2 linked regions of the Callithrix jacchus genome follow. The protein of the gene in region 2 binds, or shares a complex with, the protein of the main gene of each other region. Links are inferred from orthologs where the notes say so. Each region holds a gene or a part of one and is shown on either strand. Other genes may lie near its edges.

Region 1 (10,240 bases), on a different chromosome or scaffold from region 2:
GTATCTCCCGTGGATAAGAGAAGATCATGATTACTCTACCTTTCAGCCTTCCTGAAGGTAAGAGTGGCCACTGATACTCTGGCCAAAGAGGCAAAAGCCCCTGGAGAGGGCCTTTCCTTTTGTTTTGCCCCTCCAGCTGCTTGGAACATGGACATAATGCCTGGAGATGCAACCAAAAGAATAAAAACAAAATGGTAAGACAGGACAAGCCTTAATCCTTGCTGAAACTGGTGCTGCACAGCCCCAGTCTGTTGATCTTGTTATGTAAGAAAAATAAACTCCTGCCAGGCACGGTGGCTCAAGCCTGTAATCCCAGCACTTTGGGAGGCTGAGGCGGGTGGATCACGAGGTCAAGAGAACGAGACCATCCTGGTCAACATGGTGAAACCCGTCTCTACTAAAAATACAAAAAATTAGCTGGGCATGGTGGCGCGTGCCTGTAATCCCAGCTACTCAGGAGGCTGAGGCAGAAGAATTGCCTGAACTCAGGAGGCAGAGGTTGAGTTGAGCCGAGATCGCACCATTGCACTCCAGTCTGGGTAACAAGAGCGAAACTCCATCTCAAAAAAAAGAAAGAAAAAGAAACTCCTATTTCTTAAAGTCATTGGACAGCAGGTTTTCAGCTCCTTGCAGCTGAGGGATCCCTGATACAGTTAGCATGGAGCTTAGAACAATGCTTCTTAATTATCTTTACTCTGCAAAATTTATGAGGGATAGAGGCCATTTTCTTCACTAATTGTTACTTGTTAGAGCAGTCACTCTCAATGTGGCAGGTAACAAAATTCGAAATGAAGGCAGAGAAGACTGGCTCTGAACCTTGTTGACTACCAAAGCAATGTCTTCTTGTAAGCATATCTCTAGGAAGCAATTCAATCTGATCCCTTCAAAAATGCGTATTTTTTGTTCTAAGGCTAAACAAGCAAAATACTTTCTACCTAAGTTGTTTCTTTCTTTCAAAGTCAATTCTTCAAATTTTATTCCTTCTTAATTACTAGGAAATTACTTAAGGAATGATTACTTAATTACCTCTCATAATAATCACTCTATTAAAAAACCAAGAGGGTCCAGGCGCAGTGGCTCACTCCTATAATCCCAGCACTTTGGGAGGCTGAGGTGGGTGGGATCACTTGAGGTCAGGAGTTTGAGACCAGCCTGGCCAACGTGGTAGAACCTCTTCTCTACAATTAGCTGGGCGGGTGATGCACACCTGTAGTCCCAGCTACTCGGGAGGCTGAGGCAGGAGAATCGCTTGAACAGAGGAGGCGGAGGTTGTAGTAAGCCGAGATCACACCACTGTACTCCAGCCTGGGTGATAGAGCTAGATCCTGTCTCAAAAGTAAAACTAGAATACAATAAAATAAAACCAGGGTACTGACCACACATAAATAAAAACCAACTTTCTGTTTTGAAATTATTTATATTCACAGGTATTCTATTACATTTATCATGGTTATAAAAACTGGTAATTCTGGAATAATGTTAAGTACAGACGTACTCTGTAAGGTTATGCACAAATGCCCATGACAGCTTATTTCTCAGCGAAAATTTAACTTCCATATTATATCAATCATTCCCTTTCAAAGCATTTTACGGTTGTTTTTGATTCCCTAAATTTGAAAAATATATATCATCTTCAAGTAAGCACATTTCTACAGATTATACACAAAGTATTTACACTCAATCTTCAAAACACAGTATGTGCTCCTTTAATTTATTAAGTTATGGAATTTGAGTTGAAAAACTTACAAGCCAGGATCACTAGATTATTTTGGAGAAGTAAAAGGGAAATAAAAAGACTATTCTTGTAAACAATCAATCTAGCTGTTTTCAAAATTAATGCAAACTCATCATCAGTGAAGGGATAAAATTAATGTGAAAGACACACATCATTAAGAAAATGACCAACCTCTTTTAACAAACATATCACTACAAATCACTGCAGCTAAACATGGAAGGTAAAGGATATTGCTCTCATTTTGGCAAATTATTTCTTAATGACAACCTAATTCCAAAATGGGGATTCTCTAAGATACTCCAAAAAATCTGTATTTCACAATACACAAAAAATATCACACACAGCAGTCAAGAGTATTTAAATTCCTCAAAATCTACAGAAAAATCACAAGAACAATCTTAAGTAAATAATGCAAGAATAAACAAGGTTAAAGCTCCTTCCAAAACTGACTATAATAGATATGGCATTCAATTTATCTTTTCATGTCATTGTCACAGAAAAGTTCACTAACAATAATCAGTCTTCTAAACTATTGGCCTAATTGAGAAAGTTACTCAACTGTCAGTAAAGTCAAAACTTCCATCCAATGCCCTGTAGGTCAGCCACATTCTCTTCTGAGACCACAGGGAAAGGTTTGACCCTGATCAGATGAATGAGAGTGTCTGCCAAAACTGTAGGTGTGCAGGTTGGAGCAAACAATGCCCAACACTGCAGAACAACTCAGTCAGTGGGTCCTGTTGGTGATTCCTATTCAACAGATGGCAAAAAGAACAGATGTGGGCACTGTTCATTTGAGAAAGTAAAATAAGCCAGGCACAGTGGCTCATGCCTATAATCCCAACACTTTGAGAGGTTGAAGCAGAAGGATCGCTTGAGGTCAGGAGTTTTGAGACCTGGGCAACACAGCAAGAACCCATCTTTACAAAAAATATAAAAATTAGCCAAGTGTGTTGGCATGCACCTGTAGGCCTAGTTACTTGGGAGGCTGAGACAAGGATTGCTTTAGCCCAGGAGTTCAAGGCTGCATGAGCTATGATCATGACACTGCACTCCAGCGTGGGCAACAGAGCAAGACTTTGTCTTTAAAAAAAAAAAAGAAAGAAAAGAAAAGAAAGAAAGAAAGAAAAGAGAAAGCAAAATATACATTTAATTGGTGTAGCATATCATCAGTCAGTCAGGTTCTTCTAAAAATCACATTAGGCCAGGTACGGTAGCTTACATGTATAATCCCAACACTAAGGGAGGCAGAGGCAGGAGGATAATATGAGCCCAGGGGTTGGAAACTAGCCTGGGTAACATAGCAAGACCCCAGTCTCCACAAAAATAAGAAAAAAAAAATTTAAAAACTGCATTACTGGTTTCTTTGAGGAAAAAAAATTAGTGCTTAATTAACTCGATTTTAAAATAAGAAGTTAAGGTACATCTTCCCTGAACAAAAGTTTTCCCAAGAGGAGTTCTTAAAATGGTGTAAGTATGTGGAGGTGTACCGGTTACAACACGGTAGAAATAAATTTAAAATTTCTTCAGCTCAGTTTGACAAATGCATTTTAATTATTAGAGACTAAACAAATTCAAGAAAATGTAAAGCAACATTACCATACTTGGTGCCTCCAAGTTTAGATACATTGAAGAACTTCTTATGTGAACTGTCATTTAATGTTTCAATAAGGTACTCAAAGGCATATCCTGAAAAAAAAAACATTTTAATTAAACACAGCAACAATACCTGGAATGAAAATACTTGGAAACTAGCTTTGTCTAATAGAATTTTCTGCAATGGTACAAATGTTCTATGTTTGACCTGTCCAGTAAAGTAGCCATTAGCGACGTGTGGCTATTGAGCACCTGGAAAGGTGGCTATGGTGCCTGAGGAACTGAGTTTTCCATTTATTTAATTTTTATTACAGTAACACAGGGCTAGTATCCACCACACTGGACAGCATATCTCTAAACCATAATGTGTCGAATAAAAACTAGTAAGATAATTCACTCCAGAAATGTTTTAACACACAATACCTGGAAGGAGACACTAAAAATGATTTAAATAATCTACGGGGACGTTTTGGAAAAGATATGTCTTGAAAACTGCAGAGACAGGAATTTGGGAACTCCAAAATTAGCATTAGAGGGACTAATTAAAAAAACCAAAAGATGGATTTTTTACGAAGCATTCAATAAACAAAAACAAAAAACTTCTCAGTTAAGTCCTTACAAGGATTTAGTACAGAAAATTAAAGTAACAAAATATCTAGGAAATTAGCATATTCTCCCCGAAAGATAGAAGTCCTTCTGGTTTTGCACGAATTGAAGCTGAACTACAAAGTCAAAGATGCAGGGGTCTCATTTGAATGTGCCTCAGCTCCCAACATTCTAGGGGGCAGTGGCGGGGAGGCAGCCTTGACGTTGAAAAGAACCTTCAGATCTTTTGTGCAGACTCATAGCGGTGGGTGGGTAGGACCCTCAACATTGTTAAGGCTTTCATCCAAAAACAGAAAACATAAGTACAACGCATTGTTAGAATGAACAGTATTTTTTTCTTTTTTTCTAGAAGGAGGTGGACGGCGGGAGGTGTCTACAGCACTGCAACAAATGGTCGGGGAACTGACTGACCAATCTTCAACCTTAACTGCCCCTCATTCGGCTTCCAGAGACACAGAGAGACCGAGGGGCCTGAGGCTGGGCTGTGGAACCAACATCCAGCTGCGTGAGACCCGAGCACGGAGACGCAGGCCCCCGCCCTCATCGCTCACCAATGGGGGGCGGGCAGAGGAAGATGGTGGGCCTCTCCCTGCCCCTGGTGTTGCTGACGGGGGCCAGGAAGGCGCTGGCAGCAGGCAGCGGCCACCGGAGAGAGAAGGGTGCGGGTCAAGACCAGCGGTGCGGCGGCCCGGCCTGCGGGGGTCGCGCGGGAGGGTGAGGGCGGGGAGTCCCACCTTCTGCGGCCTGGGCTCAAAGGGCGGCCCAGCAGGCAGGCCCCAAGGGGAGCATAACCTGAGCCCCGAGGGCCTGGGCGCCTGCCGAGCAACTCCAGGCAAGAAAAGCAAGGAACACGGCGCTTAGGCACCGCGCGTTTCCAGCTGCCAGACCCAGCTCGGAGGCCCGAAACTGACCTGCTTTTGGGGCGTCCATCGCCGGAGACCATATTATCCCTGCGGGGAGGGGGCCGGCGGGGGAAGGAGAGGGGAGGCCGGGCAGGGAAGAGGGGGAGGAAGACAGGCGGACTGGCAAGGGAAGAAGGAAGGAAGCAGTCTCGCTCAAATATCGCGAGAGCCGCAGAGCCAGCCCGGGCCTGCGCTTGCGGGATTTGTCGGCTAACTCCCGCGAGATCTTCGGCAGGAAAACAAAGAAAGAGAAGGGGCGGAGCTAACCAGAGGGCGATTTCTCGCGCCCTCGCCGCTTTTCTCGCGAGCGGGGGCGGAGCGCTGGGGAGGCTCCAGCGGTGGCATTGGAATCTCTAGTTTGGCCTTTGCAGCGATCCGTTACTTAGTTGTGGCCTGAAGGTTTGTATTGGGGTCGTGAGTTCCAGCTGTGTGCGCGGTCCCGCAAGGTGTCTTTTGGAATCAGGGTCGGAATGGGAACTCCTAGGAGGAAAAGCTGAAGGAGAACCCCTTTCCCGTAACGGTAAAGCCTTACGTTAAATTGTCAGACGTGAGCGGCCCACACGCCTGTTCTCAGTTGGGGCGGCCACACTGATCCGGTGCGTGGGAGGCACTCAACAAAGTGTTGAATGAATTAATTTTTTTCATTTACTCCTGTAGCTTCCATCTCTGCCGCAGTTAACATACTTAAGCCTCTCCATCCCTCCGCCTCAGCTCCTCCGGCCCCTGTGTGCTCCATCTGCCCAGCATTATCTCCTGTGGGCAGCAACTTAACAGAAGAAGTTGCTCATACTCGCCCTCTCCGTTCCACTTCTTATCTTCTTCCAGTCTGGTTTCCACTCCCAGAAATGCCTTTAGCCAAGATAAGCCATGACTCCACTTGCTGATCTCACGTACCTCAGTCTTGACTGGTTCTTTCCCCTTGTTGAAAAATACTCTTCTATCAGCTTCTGTGACCTCAGACTCTACTTTTTTTTTTCTCATAAGGGTGCTTGATCTCAGGCTCCTCTGCAGGCCTCTTCCTCTGCCCAGCTTGTAAATGTACTGGGCACTGGACGGGCACAGTAGCTCATGTCTGTAATTCCAGCACTTTAGGAGGCCAAAGTGGGAGGATAGCTTGAGCTGAAAAGTTCGAGACCCAACAGGGCAACATAGTGAGTCCCCCATCTCTACAAAAAAAATTTAAAAATTAGCTGGGCATGGTGGCATGCACCTGTAGTCTCAGCGACTCAGGAGGCTAAGATGGGAGGATCACTTGAGCCCAGGATGCTTAGGCTGTGGCGAGCCATGACGGCACCACTGCACTTCAACCTCGGCAACACAGCGGGACGCGGTCTCAAAAAGTAATGTATTGAACATTAAATGTGCCCCAGAGTTCTGGCCTTGTACCTCCTCCCTCTCTCAATTTTCCCTGACCCATCTCACCTTTCCTTTAACTTGTTATTAGTTAATATGTTGTTGCTTCCCAGTCTGCCTGTAACCTGAGACTGTCTCCTGAACCCAGAGGTGTGTATATCCTAGTCCATTGGATGCCTCCACATCCCACAGCCACTTCAAACTAAAAATCACCAAAACCTAACTCATCGTTTTCCTCCTTAAACCCACTGTTCCTTTTGTATTGCCTGTATCAGCGAATGGTGGCATCTACCTGGTCGCCTAAGCCAGAAATCAACACATTGTACCCAACTCCTTTCCCTCTCCTTTTAATCATTGACCCAAGCCCTGTCAACCCAAATTCCAGTGTATTTCCTTTATTCACCTTGCTATATTTTGTAACATCTCCTTTGCAATCTCAGCATGAAATTCACAGGTAATCTACATGCACAACAATAAAATAATCTACTTAAGGACCTAACTGTAATATAAAGGAGAAAAATAGGACAGTAATTTATTAGAAAATAATATGTATTACAATATGTAGGTGCACAGGCATGTCTATATTAGATGACAAAATTGAGTCATCAGATGCTTATATCTATATATAATGAATGAGTTTGATTTTACAGGACATATAATATTCGACTGGGCCAGGCACAGTTGGTATAGCTCAGGTTTGTAATCCCAGCGCTTTGGGAGGCCAAAGCAGCAGGATTGCTTGATGCTAGGAGTTTAACACCAACCTGAGCAACATAGTGAGACCCTGTCCCTACAAAAATTTAGAAGAGTTAGCCAGGCGTAGTGGTGCATGCTTGTAGTACCAGCTACTGTGAGACAGAGGCAGGAGGATCACTTGAGCTCAGAAATTCAAGATTACAGTGAGCTATGATTGTGCCACTGCCCTCCAACCTGGGTGACAGAATGAGACCCTGTCTCAAAAAAAGATAATATTCAGCTGAATATGGTCAACACTTTTTTTTTTTTAGGCAGAGTTTTGCTTTTGTTGCCCAGGCTGGATGGAGTACAGTGGTACAATCTCAACTCACTGCAACCCCTGCCTCCCAGGTTCAAGCAATTCTTCTGCCTCAGCCTCCCGTGTAGCTGGGATTACAGGCATGTGCCACCACACCTGACTAATTTTGTATTTTTAGTAGAGATGGGGTTTCACCATGTTGCCCAGGCTGGTCCTGACATCAGGTGATCCACCCACCTCAGCCTCCCAAACTGCTGGGATTACAGGCATAAGCCGCCACACCCGCCCAACGCTTTTTATTTATGTCTGACATTGCAAAATAAGGATTCAATATATACATACATATCATGCATAAATATGTATTAAGAATGCATATATGGCAAATGCACATATGTATAAAATGTACATATATATCATGAATGGCCTCCTCTAAAGACTAATAAAAATATATTAGTGACTCAAATATTGGAAGTGTTGTTACTATTGAGATTTCCTGAAGTGGTAAATAACTCTTGGTAAAGTTCAAAACAAAATGAAATAAAACCTTTGCTTTTTTTACACAGTAGTTTTATTCCTAGAAAATTCTCTATATAGGCTGGGTGTGGTGGCTCACACCTGTAATCCCAGCACTTTAGGAGGCTGAGGCAGGTGTATCAGGAGGTCAGAAGACTGAGACCATCCTGGGCAACATGGTGAAACCACATCTCTACTAAAAAGAAAAAAAAAAAATTAGGCTATGCACAGTGGCTCATGCCTGTAATCCTAGCACTTTGGGAGGCCGAGGTGAGTGGATCACCTGAGATCAGGTGTTCAAGACCAGCCTGGCCGTCATGGTGAAACCCCATCTTAAAAAAAAAAAAAAAATAGCCAGGTGTGGTGGGGTGTGCCTGTAGTTCCAGCTACTCAGGAGGCTGAGGCAGGAGAATCGCTTGAATCTGGGAGGCAGAGGTTGCAGTGGGCTGAGATTGCACCACTGTACTCTAGCCTGGGTGGCAGAGTGAGACTCCATCTCAAAAAAAAAAAAGTAATAATCCGTATATATTAAAACCATACACAAATTACTTTTGTTTTTACTTGTAAATGGGGTTAAACTCTAGGCTCAGATAATTTTAAACAGAGTTGTTATTGTTTTTATGTTTCTGTGCATGTTTAACGTACTTGAATATCTGACAGTATGGGTCTTGTTTCATTCTTTGTTGTGTAATTCTGTACTGTGGAATGCATGCATTAAATGCCAAAAGTGCCCCATGATAGTGACAACCAAAAACACCCATTTTCTCAGTGTCCTGCTTCCACTGAGAAGAACTAACTTGGAAAAATCATGATATGTTCCCTTCTGGCTGGATTCATTACTTTTTTTTTTTTTTTAACAGTTTTATTTATTTTAACACAGAGGTCTGGTTACTCTGCCTAGGCTGATCTCAAACTCCTGAGCTGAAAGGATTCTCCCACCTCAGCCTCCCGAGTAGCTGGGACTATAGGCATGCACCATCTCAGTCAGCTTTAACAGTTTCATTGAGGTTTAATTCAAATATCATAAAATGTATCTATTGTTAAACCTTTTTATTTTGTGACAATTGTAGATTTACATGTAGCTGGACTAAATAATAAAGATGCTTTTCACCTAGTCTTCCCACATGTGGCATAATACAATATAAAAATGAGGAAATTGACATTGATGCAATCATTGCACCTTACTCAGATTTAGGCAGTAATACATGTACTCCTTTGTGGGGTGTATGTGTGTGCACGCGTGCACGTATGCACGTGCGTATTTAGTTCACGTGTGGCTTTGCGTGACCACCACTATGGTCAAGATACGGAACATTTCCAATGATTCTTGACATTGCCCCTTTATAACAGCAGCTGTTTTCCTCCTAAGCTGCCGTTTCCTCATCCCCTACACTTTATTTTGAATGTTATGCAAATGAAAGCTTAAGGTATGTTTTCTTACGTAAATCGTGTCAGTGTTTGAATATGGATTATTCTTTTTTTTTCTTTTTTTATAAAGACGAGGTTTCACCGTGTTGGTCAGGCTGGTCTTGAACTCCTGACCTCAGGCGATCCGCCCGCCTTGGCCTCCAAAGTGCTTGGATTACAGGCGTGAGCCACTACGCCCAGCTTATTCATTTTTTTTCAAGTTACATTTGCAGTGAGATTTTAACAACCTTTTAGATCAGTGTCTGGGTTCATCTCTCCTTTTTTTTTGAGACAAGAGTCTCACTCTGTTACCCAGGTTGGAGTGCAGTGGGGTGATTTCAACTCACTACAGCTTCCATCTCCTGGGCTCAAGTGATTCTTCCACCTCAGCCCCTCAGTAGCTGGGACCACAGACACACACCACCACACCCAGATAATTTTGGTATTTTTTGTAGAGACAGGGTTTTCCTGTGTTGCCCAGGCTGATCTTGCCTTCTGTGCTCAAGCTGTCTGCCTACCTCAGCACCCCAAAGTGCTAGGCATGAGCCACCGCACCCAGGCCAAAACTAAACATTTTATTTGAAAAAAAAAATTAAGAATATAGAAGAATTGCAAGACACTGTTTATATACTTTAACTAGATTGATTTATTTACTGTTAACATTTTGCCACATTTGCTTTGTCTGTCTCTCTCTTCCTCTCTGCTATTGCAGACATAAGATCCTCATTATTTCTTCTTCTTTTTTTTTTTTTTGAGACACAGTCTCACTGTGTTGCCCGATCTGGAGTGCAGTAGGTATTCACGGTCAGATAAGAGTGCACTGTAGCCTCCAACTCCTGGACTCAATCAATCCTCCTACCTCAGCCTTCAGAGTAGCTAGGACTACAGGTGTGTGCCACTGCACCTAGCTATTTCTTATTTTAATTTTTTTGTACCATTTCAGGGTAAATTTTAGAGATTATGAACCTTCAGTCCTAAATACTTTATCATATATCAACTAAAAATGATCAAATTCAGGATATGTAATTGATACAATAAAATCAATTGTATCAATAGAATCCATATTCAAACATTGGCACAATTTACAATTCATATTTAAATTTTGTCAATTGTCTCAATATTGTCCTTTCTAGAAAC
Region 2 (10,140 bases):
GACCCACCAAATTGTTAAATATGAAATACTTTGTGCTATCCTTATACTTTCTTATGTAAATGATCCCATTTTTAGGCAATGAAAAACTTTCGGAAAAAAGGTGAAAAATGAAAAGAACAGTAAAAGTTTTGAAGAGAAAGGAAAACATGATATCAAAAGAAAAATGATCCATAGTAAAATGTACTATCAGTTATTCCACGTAACTAAAAAGGACACAAGGTAAAAATGATTTGAAACTCAACTAAATTAGCCTGATCATAATGAATCAAGCAAAGGAAGGTACTTTAGAATTCCTAAGAAGTTAAAAATGAAGGTGACTTTTGCTTTTACTTAGTAACTTCTATAAAGCTTGGATGTTTACAACAAAATGTACTACTGTAACATTCACCATGAAAACACTATAAACTTTAATATGAAAGAAGAAAAAAACACACTAACTACACTAAAAAGTATGAATAATTGTACTGTACTGCCTTTCTCAGGATCCTATTGTTACTATTCTTATGTAAAGACCTAATTTGAATGTTTTTAAACATAAAACAATTTAACAGAATAGATTAAGGAAGTTTCATTTAAAAAAAAACTAAAGTATGGCAGACAAAAGGATATAAACTGAAAGAATTTGTTACTCATGGTTCCTTGTTTACAGATATTATCCTAAATTCCTCCATTAACCAGACATACACACACACACACGCACCCCAAGATAAAATATAAGGAAACAAAAATTACTTTGTGAGCCCTATTCATGATACTAAAATTTTATTCCCAAGACATTCTTTTGTTTCTGTGGCATTCGCTATCTAAATGTATACTATTTATTGTAAAATTTTCAATTTTTTGTAACTTTCTTTTTTATTGACCTATAACAGTTATACATATTTTGGGGGGTACATGTGATACTTTAGTACCTGTATACATTGTATGATGATCAAATCATGGTAATTGAAACTGTGAAATATTTTTTAAGAAATGAAAAATTTCTATGAAAAACAATAACTTATTTGCAGGACAAGTAAAGACAAAACAGCGAAACTGAAAAAAGCACTGAAGTAAATGGCAGTTTAGTCTTTAATAATCAACAGGTACATTATCTGAAAAGGCTTAACTTTTCCTTTTCAATATGAAGGAAATCGACAAACTTTGCTTTGACTGTCTTCAAGGATTAAGACAAATACACTGACATTGTTAGAACCTTCAAAATTCTTATCCTGGGTATCATGAATTAATTTTTTAGAATGAATAAGCGAAGACTTTAAATTGCCATCTAAGCAAGTATCTCATCTCCTTCAGGTCTTTGATCAAATTTCTCAACGGACCTTAACTAGTCAGTCAATTTAAAACTACGATTTTTAAATCTTCTTGGCATGTTTTCCTTGTTTTATTTTTCTCCACAACACATGTCACCATCTAATACGGATTATATTTTACCTGCATTTATTGTCTGCCTCCCCTCTCTAAATTTTAAGCTTAACAAGGGCCAGGTTTTTGTTTTGTTTTGTTTTTTTCCATTTTATTTACCATTATATACTTCATACTTAAAACAATACCTGCCACAGGTAAGCACATCACCAAATCTATCATAACTAGAATAGACCTTTCCCTTATATGGAACCTTTTGAATCTTTATTTCAAAATGCGGCACATCTACGTTTCATAAAAATAAACTGTTAGCTGCTGAAATAACAATCTTTATACTTATACTGCTTACTTTCCATGTTTCTTCTTTTTTCCACATTTAGTTCTTTCACCAGACCAAATTACTTTAAGTGGTAGTTTTATAAATAAAATTTCCTAGAGTTTCAGTTTTACCAACTAGAAGAATATCTCCTCTGTACATTTTTTACTGTTTTACCATCTTTCAGTAATTGTTATCTAGAATAATATCCAAGACAGAATGTCTTCCTCCTCATACTTCCAAATAGTATCTCTCTGAACAAGTATGACAGCATTTTTCCATCATGTACCTTAAATTAAAAATTACATTTTCTAAATTTTCTCCCATCTGGGAGTTTTTTGGAGTACCAATAAAGTCTTATCCACCCTTGAACTCTCCCATAGTGCTTAATGAATGGCTACATTAGTTTCTGTAATCCCTTACCATTTACAAAGAATCTTCATGTATATTACTTCTTAATTCTACAACAACTTTCTTAGGCAAGTATTAAAGACTATTTACAAATGAGTAAGTCGACTCAACAGTTTCATCCAATTTCCCTCAAGACAGATGACTCAACAGATGCTGTGCAACTGATCACTTAAAGTGTCCCTAAAAACATACTGTAAACTATAAAGCACTATAATAAACGTACATTATTTCCGTAAGAAAAAAGGCATCATTTTCTGATTTTTTAATATAAAAACAAAAGAGAAACAATCCTACGCACTCTTTAAAGTACTTCAATTTTAAATTTTCTTATTCCTCCAAATTTTAAAAAGGCTTAGAAACACTACTTTCTTGAGAAAACACAAAATACATAAATCTTAATACCTAACTGTAAATACTTAGTTAACATACCAATTATTAAAATACCATGTAATAATTTTAATTCCAAACAAGCTTACCAGATTCATCTATGTCAGCATCTTCATCCCAGTCATGAAAAGCACGACTTTCATCTTTCCTATTTTTCACCCATTCTTCATCAGGTTCAGTATCAAGTTCAGTTGCAGGACCACTATACCAGTCACCTATTTGATGAATAAACAAGAGGATCAAAATAATATTAGATTGCCTGCAATTACAAAAAAACTAAGCGGTATCTTTGAGGTATGCCTGGATCATCAGGGATAGTTCTTAGACTATGTTCTATCTACTATGTAACATGTATACTTTAAAACTATTTAAGATAGAACGGATTTTATAAGTCATTTCATTATAATGGGTCTTAACATCCGCTTTAATGTCAGTAACAGCACAGCAGAAACATTTATGGATGTGGTACTATGTAAAGTGTTTTGCAAGCCTTTTTTTTATAATTGTCATAATTTTTAGAAGAGTAGAGAAACTGGAGCTTAGAAAAGTTGAATAAATTTCCCCAGGTCACAGAATTGCTCAGGATGGTGCCCCATTTTGATCTAATCCTATAATTTTAAAATCATACTATAAAAATATTTTCACTTTGAAAAATCTTCTTAATCATGTAGGCTTTTTTTTTTTTGATAATTGGGAAATAAAGAAATACATAAATAAGAAATTTTGCCAGTAATTCTACCACCTCAGATTATAATACAATTCCTTCTAATATTTTTTCTAAGCAAAACTTTATTTTGTAAAAAGCAAAATAGTATGACATTGTAGTCTTTCATTTCAATTAATGTTATGACTATTTGCTGTAGTACTATTTTCTCTCATAATTACTATTTTCTCTTGTAAAGGTTCTAATAAACAAGCAGTGTGTTCTTAAAAAAAAAAAAAAAAAAAAAAGTTGGAGGACCACTATACCAGTCACCTATTCGACGAATAAACAAGAGGATCAAAATAATATTAGATTGCCTTCAATTACATAAAAACTACGCTATTTACAATAAAAATCTCTAAAAGAGAAAATATCTGAGTCCTAGGCAATGGGCAAGCTATTTTTAGAAATATTTAATTATGGTTAAAAAAATTACACTGAAATAAGAAAAAGATTTCATTTCAGACAAACTGAAAAGAACTATGACTAGGTGGGTTCAACTAACAATAATAATCAATTAACCAATAGTTCATAATTTCTTAAAGTAAATCTCTTTCAAACTGTGGAAACAGAACAGTAACTACAAAAATTTATATAGTCTACTGCTATGAATCTACTCTCTGTACAAAAAGTTTTTCAATTTTTTTGTCTTTTATAGAAATACACTTAATGTTTATCAAGTCTTGAATAAAATTTTAGAAATCACAATAAGCAAACATTGTCCCTTGCTGTGGTTTCACACTGGTTCCTACAGTAGCCCCATTATGATAACAGCCAATAAATAAAAGGAAGCAGGTCTACTCTGCAGTCTATCAGTCAGCCATTCAGAAGTAGATGGAAACAGAAGCAAAGGGAAAGATTAATGTAAAGCCAATGTAAATTTATAGATCCTGGAGAATGTACTGTAACTAAATTATATGATCATGAAGTGAGAGATTATGAGGAATCAATTCACTAATCTCATTTTTTTGGAGACAGAGTGTCACTCTAGCGCCCAGGCTGAAGTGCAGGGTAGCATTCTGGGCTCACTGCAACCTCTGTCTCCCAAACTCAAGCCTCCCAAGTAGCTGGGATACCAGGTATGCACAGCCACGCTGACTATGTTGCCCATGGTGGTCTCAAACTCCTGAGCTCAGGCAATCTCCTGCCTTGGCCTCCCAAAGTGCTAGGAGATTATAGCTGTGAGCCACTGTGCCCAGCCAATTTACTCAACTCTTAACATTTCATTTAAATTAGGGTTTCTCAACCTTGACGCTATTGACATTTTGGGATGAATAATTATTTGTTGTTGGGAGCTGTCCCGTGGATAATAGGGTGCTTAGCAACAACCCTGGCCTATACCCATTAGATGCCAGTATGATACCCAAAGATGGGACAAACAAAAATGTCTCCAGATGTTTCAAATGTCCCCTGAAGGGGGGAAATCAAATTGAGAACCACTCAAAGCAAATAATATAAATAAATAAAAAACGATTTCTATTTTTTTTTTTAAAGACAGAGTCTCCCTCTGTCACCCAGATTGGAGTGCAGTGATGTGATCATGGCCCACTGCAGCCTCGACTTCCCATGCTCAAATGATCCTCCTACCCGAGCCTCCCAAGTAACTGGGACTACGGGCATGTGCCACCATGCCTGGTAATTTTTTTTTTATTTTTGTTTGTTTTGGTTTTTTTTTTGTGATTCACTGATTGATTTTCAGACTGAGTCTTGCTCTGTCGCCCAGGCTGGAGTGCAATAGCACGTCTCGGCTCACTGCAACCACCAACTCCCAAGTTCAAGCAATTCTCCCTGCCTCAGCCTCCCGAGTAGCTGGGATTACAGGTGCCTATCACCCCACTGGGATAATTCTTATAGTTTTAGTAGACATAAGGTTTCACAATGTTGGCCAGGCTTGTCTTGAACTCCTGACCTAAGGTGATCCACCCACCTTAGCCCCCCAAATTGCTGGGATTACAGGTGTGAGCCACTGCGCCTGACCATTTATTCTTTTAGTAGAGATGAGGTCTCTGTATGTTGCCCAGAGTGATTGGAACTTTTTGTTTAAAAATATTAAAAACAGAAAAAAACAGTATATTTGAGATTTCGGTGAATTTATGAAAGTTAGCACAGCATTATCACAACTGACACTCATATCAAATCTTAAAAATTAAAAAGTCAGAAAATATTGTATGCATCCATGTTTGTCTTGACTTTTCAATAAATATTTCATTATCCTACAACTAATAGAAAAAATTTTTCCACATAACAACTGTAATCATTTAGATGATATAAATCTACCTGATACTCCAAATAGCTTTACTCAAAAAAACTAAATATCTAACAGCTTATTTCTAAAGTGCTATGTGTTATTGTAATGAATAAAATTGCTTTTAAATCACATTCACAATTTAAATCAGACAAAGTCATAAACAGAAAAAAAAAATTATGTGAATTTGGAATCTAATATTCACCTAGGCTGGATGCAGTGGCTCACATCTGCAATCCCAGCACTTTGGGAAGCCAAGATACGTGGATCACTTGAGGTCAGGAGTTCAAGACCATCCTGATCAACATGGTGAAAACCCACCTCTACTAAAGATACAAATTAGCCAGGCGTGGTGGCGCATACTTGTAATACCAGCTACTTGGAAGGCTGAGACAGGAGAATCACTTGAACCCAGGAGGCAGAGGTTGCAATGAACCAAGATCATGCCATTGCACTCCAGACGGGACAACATGAGCAAAACTCCATCTCAAAAAAATAAAACAAAATGAACAAAAAAAAACCCCCAAAAGCTCACGTGGAAGAAATTGTTTTAATTCAGTGACAGAAAAAATGTATGCTCTATTAGCTGTATTTAACCCATAACTGCATTACATGTTGAGGAAAATAATATTTTCTTTAATTCTTCACAAGTAAAAGTAATTTACTATAATGCTATTAATATGAAACTGTGATTCAGGGAATGTGGCATTACCAATCAAAGATAGGTCAAAGACAAAAACGGATTCACAATTATTTTAAGCCATCACCAAAATGGAGCCATAATGGTATATCACCCTTACATTTTAAAAAATTTATTCCATATTTAAAAAATACTCATGTTATTAAATATATTTAAAGGAGTTTTGAAAGCTTAATTTTATTTTTAACTTCTAATTCTGTAAGATAGTCAAAAGCAGAAAGAACTAGCATAATGAATCCCCTATCTTCAATAATTACCAACATTTTGTCAATCTTTTTGCATCCTTCCCCAACTATATTTTCTTATTATTTTTTTAATTGCAGACATCATTATAATTTACCCATGAACTTCAGCACTGCTAGTTTTCCAAAAATATATACCAAAAATACATCCTCTAACTGTAAAATCTACTTTTTGGTCAACCTCTCAAAGCTTCCCTCCCTGGCCTTGTTCATTAACGTCAATGAATATGTATCTAGAAAACACATGAAAATATTTTTTAAACCCATTTACCTACCTCTGGCCCAATGAACAGGGTAAAGATGTTTCCAAAGCGACCCAGTTTTTGCCAGCTGAGACCATTTCGTGCTTACTTGACTGCATCGACATAACTCTTGAGGATTAAGATAACTGAAAATTGACAGCATTACCTCAGGAGGAAGATGGGTTATACCTGTGGAGTGTTCTGACACTTCTGCTTCTGAAATAAAAAAGAAAAGCTTTAGCAGTAAAGGCTAAGAGCAAATGCAATAAGAAATTACAATCACATTTCTATAAACAAAATCCAGTGCCTGAAGTCAATTCCTTCCTGCTTGCAAGATGCGAAAACGAAATAACATGTAACAGAGGTAACATGGGGATGTTAAACTTGTTAAGAACCAGTAGGGTTAAACTATCATGGCCCAAATCACACTTCATCAGTGGAAGTTACAATAATGAACACAGAATTAACTTCCTCTTACAAAGGCATCACAGAAAAAAACAACACTCACTTTATAGCATTAAGTAGCATCATTTGAAAAAGGAACCAAACAGGTTACACAGCTTTAAATCAACAAGTATAGAGTACGCCAGATTATGAGATCTCCAAGGCATTTTTAATGACACATACAAATGTCACTACCTTTTCCATTCATGCATGATGACTCCTGTCAATAATTTTCCTCGTATTCCCTCTTTGATTTTCACATTTCATACCAGAGGTCTGCAAAATCTGACTGCCTTAACATATAGGCACTTTAAACCACTTCAATTATTTATGTCGCAGGTGAGATGACAAAATGTAAATATTTCTGATGCTGTTTCACACTAATAAGAAATATACTCTCAGCAACTATTGCAGGAAGTACTTATTGGATGTATAAACCTATAATGTATTATTTTAATAACAATTTCCAAAATAAAAATGAAAATGAGGTGTTACAATAAAAAAAAAAAGATTTGTCGTTAAAGTCCTATGAAGAATTTGAGTACTTTATATACCTGATTTGTCTTCACAAAGCAACTTAAATATAGAAATGCTATGATCACATTCATTAAACTACTAGTTTTAAAATGGCAAATATTTTAAACATAATACAGCTACAATTTGCTTTGAAGGAGTGGGAAAATAAAATGTGGTAAGTGTGATACTTTTAAATCTCATGTTATAATTACAATTAAACCAGACATAACAAGTCTTAACTTGGTATCTAAAGCACAAGCTACGTTTCAGAGTAAAGCATACAAGCTTTATGGGATTAATTATAGCTTAAAACTTGTAAAATAACTTTGGTTTCAACATACACTTCACCTACTTTTATTTTTATTTTTGGAGGGGGCCAGGATCATGCACTGGCGGCTGAGGGATCCCCCGACCCTCTACCTACTTTGTTAAATAAAAATAAAAGGATCACTTTCAAAAAACTCCAAGTTATTTTAACAGAAATGCCATTGCTACCAACAATCTTGAAGAAGCAAAGCTACTGAACATAAATAATAAAAAATGAGAAAGTAGTTTATTTTTTTTTAAAAGGGCAGCATGTTTTATTCGCATTTCTCATTTGTATTCTCAGAGTAACTATACAGAAAAACTTTGCCTCTGGTACTTATTCCTCTGACTATTAATACATACAAGCTGAAAAAAAATGATACATTTTTTGCCAGCTGATGGAAAGGATGAAAATAAACTATAAACATAACTGACTGAAAACCAATGAAAAACACAAGGAAAGATAAAAATCAGCCACTATGGTCAACAGAGCTCAGGAAGTGGGATGATACTGCAAAAGTGTTCTGTGTAACAGTAGTTTTCAACAATTCTGACTGATCAATTTTTAGCAGGCCAGTGCTCTGTATTGGTAGTTTTCAATAATTTTGACTATGCATTTATAAATTCATTGAAGAAACACTACACAGCATATGTCCCAAATATATGTTAAATTATCATACACAACACTAAATTCTAAAATAAGAACTATCGTCTTCAATTAAATTCATACATGAAAATAACGGCTTTAACTGATCACAGTGCAGGTCTAACTTAAATTGTTTCTCAACCAAAATCTACAGTTCATATCAGTAAGATGTCAATGGCCTTATAACTAATAAATTGTTCTTTATCTATGTATAGAAATCTCACCTTTATCTGACTTTTCATCCACAGAATATTTAAAAAATTTTTGTCGCTCTTCAGCATGATTCCATAGGCTAAGACCTCTAAGGAGTTCTGCAGTATCCTTCTGAGAGCAGTGTTGTGCAATCACTTTCTTTTTAATATCCTTAAGCTCTTCGTAGGTAAAATATTCCATTAACATGGGCTGAAAAACCTAAATTAAACAAAATATTCACAAGGAATGATACTTAATTCGTGTTATTTCACTCTACAGCTTTTTAAGTTATTAATGGCTTGCATGTCTTATTATGACCATATATCTGAAGCAGATAAAAATTTTATCTGTTACCACTGAGTTAGTTTATCTAAAAATTGCAGAGAAGAGTACCTCAAGAAGATCCTTCTTGTTATGTTTCTCTAGCTAGCAAATCAATCCCAAAACAATTTTAAAGCATGAGGACCAGAAGGTTTGCCGATACAGAATTTGTCAAACACTCTTAATCATTCTCTGTAAATGTTTAGGTCAGTTAACTGCCTTCTGGTACTAGAGTAACTGAACTCTACAGAAATAGTCCCTCTGCCTCACATGAGAGTGGTACCCAGTCAGTATACTGCAACCATAAAAGTCAGAACTCTGCTGAGACATGTAACTTTTCAATATTATTTCTGGATTTTGGAACTGTTCCCTCAAATCATTATTTTAGAAAAGTGGTTCCTACAATAATTATCTATGAAGATTTCTTTTGCTAAACAGATGCTTAGTTCCAAACTTCAATTTACAGAATTAGAATCTTTAGAGGTTAGAACCAAAACTTTGTTTTGTTTTCACTTCCACAGATAATTTTGATGAGTATCATAGGTTAAGAAACACTGGTTGCTCTAGTAATTCAGGTTTCAACACTGGCTGTATATTACAGTGAGTTGGAGGGCCCTGAAAAAATACCCAGGTCAATGCCTGTTCTCTGATTTAACTCTGATATAATATACCAGAAAGTGCTTAAAATACTGTTGGGGTTTCTTTTGTTTGTTTAAATACCAATTTGATTTTAAGGTAAAGCTATAGTTGAGAATCACTACAGTAATTGATTTACAGCTGAACAGGTATTCAGTTCCTCATAAAATCATTTATCTATTTCTTATCCTAATATTCATCCCATATTAGAGACAGAGGAAAAAGGGAAAACGTTTTACCAATTCATACAATGATACCCTAATATATGTATAGTAGGCTTAAGACTAATAATTGTTCTTGTTTGTTTGAAGACACAGTCCTTACTCTGTCACTCAAACTGAAGCACCATGGCACAATCATGGCTCACTGCAGTCTCAGCCTCTTGGGTTCAAGCAATTCTTGCACCTCAAGCTCCCAAGTAGTCAGGATGACAGGCATATGCCACAATGCCCAGCTGATTGTTTTAATTTT

What was found. Proteins that work in one complex are often made in the same cells at the same time.
Region 1: the proteins of FBXL5 (region 2) and IREB2 are in contact, whole or in part, in a cryo-EM structure (PDB 6VCD), measured with the Homo sapiens proteins. The link is inferred for Callithrix jacchus from reciprocal best matches to the Homo sapiens genes FBXL5 and IREB2. Residues at the interface, in NP_036293.1 of Homo sapiens: Asp656, Glu657, Tyr661, Cys662, Asp663, Asn664, Ile665, His669, Ala670, Asp671, Thr672, Ala673, Ser674, Gly675, Cys676, Gln677, Asn678, Leu679, Gln680, Cys687, Arg688, Ser689, Gly690, Glu691; in NP_004127.2 of Homo sapiens: Asp89, Phe90, Ser129, Asn217, Val220, Glu221, Arg224, Arg228, Ala758, Gly759, Ser760, Arg763, Asn764, Thr777, Pro778, Arg779, Asn782, Ser783, Tyr784, Gly785, Ala786, Arg788.

The regions. Positions count from the first base shown.
Region 1 is NC_133509.1:25,800,206-25,810,445, reverse strand, and holds the start of IREB2 (iron-responsive element-binding protein 2), read right to left. Parts: upstream 4,988-10,240; 5' UTR 4,865-4,987; coding exon 4,846-4,864; intron 3,422-4,845; coding exon 3,332-3,421; intron 1,343-3,331; exon of another isoform or gene 1,034-1,342; coding exon of another isoform or gene 1,027-1,033; intron 1-1,026. UniProt on the Homo sapiens protein: RNA-binding protein that binds to iron-responsive elements (IRES), which are stem-loop structures found in the 5'-UTR of ferritin, and delta aminolevulinic acid synthase mRNAs, and in the 3'-UTR of transferrin receptor mRNA.
Region 2 is NC_133504.1:178,246,310-178,256,449, reverse strand, and holds part of FBXL5 (F-box/LRR-repeat protein 5), read right to left. Parts: intron 8,932-10,140; coding exon 8,745-8,931; intron 6,825-8,744; coding exon 6,642-6,824; intron 2,692-6,641; coding exon 2,566-2,691; intron 1-2,565.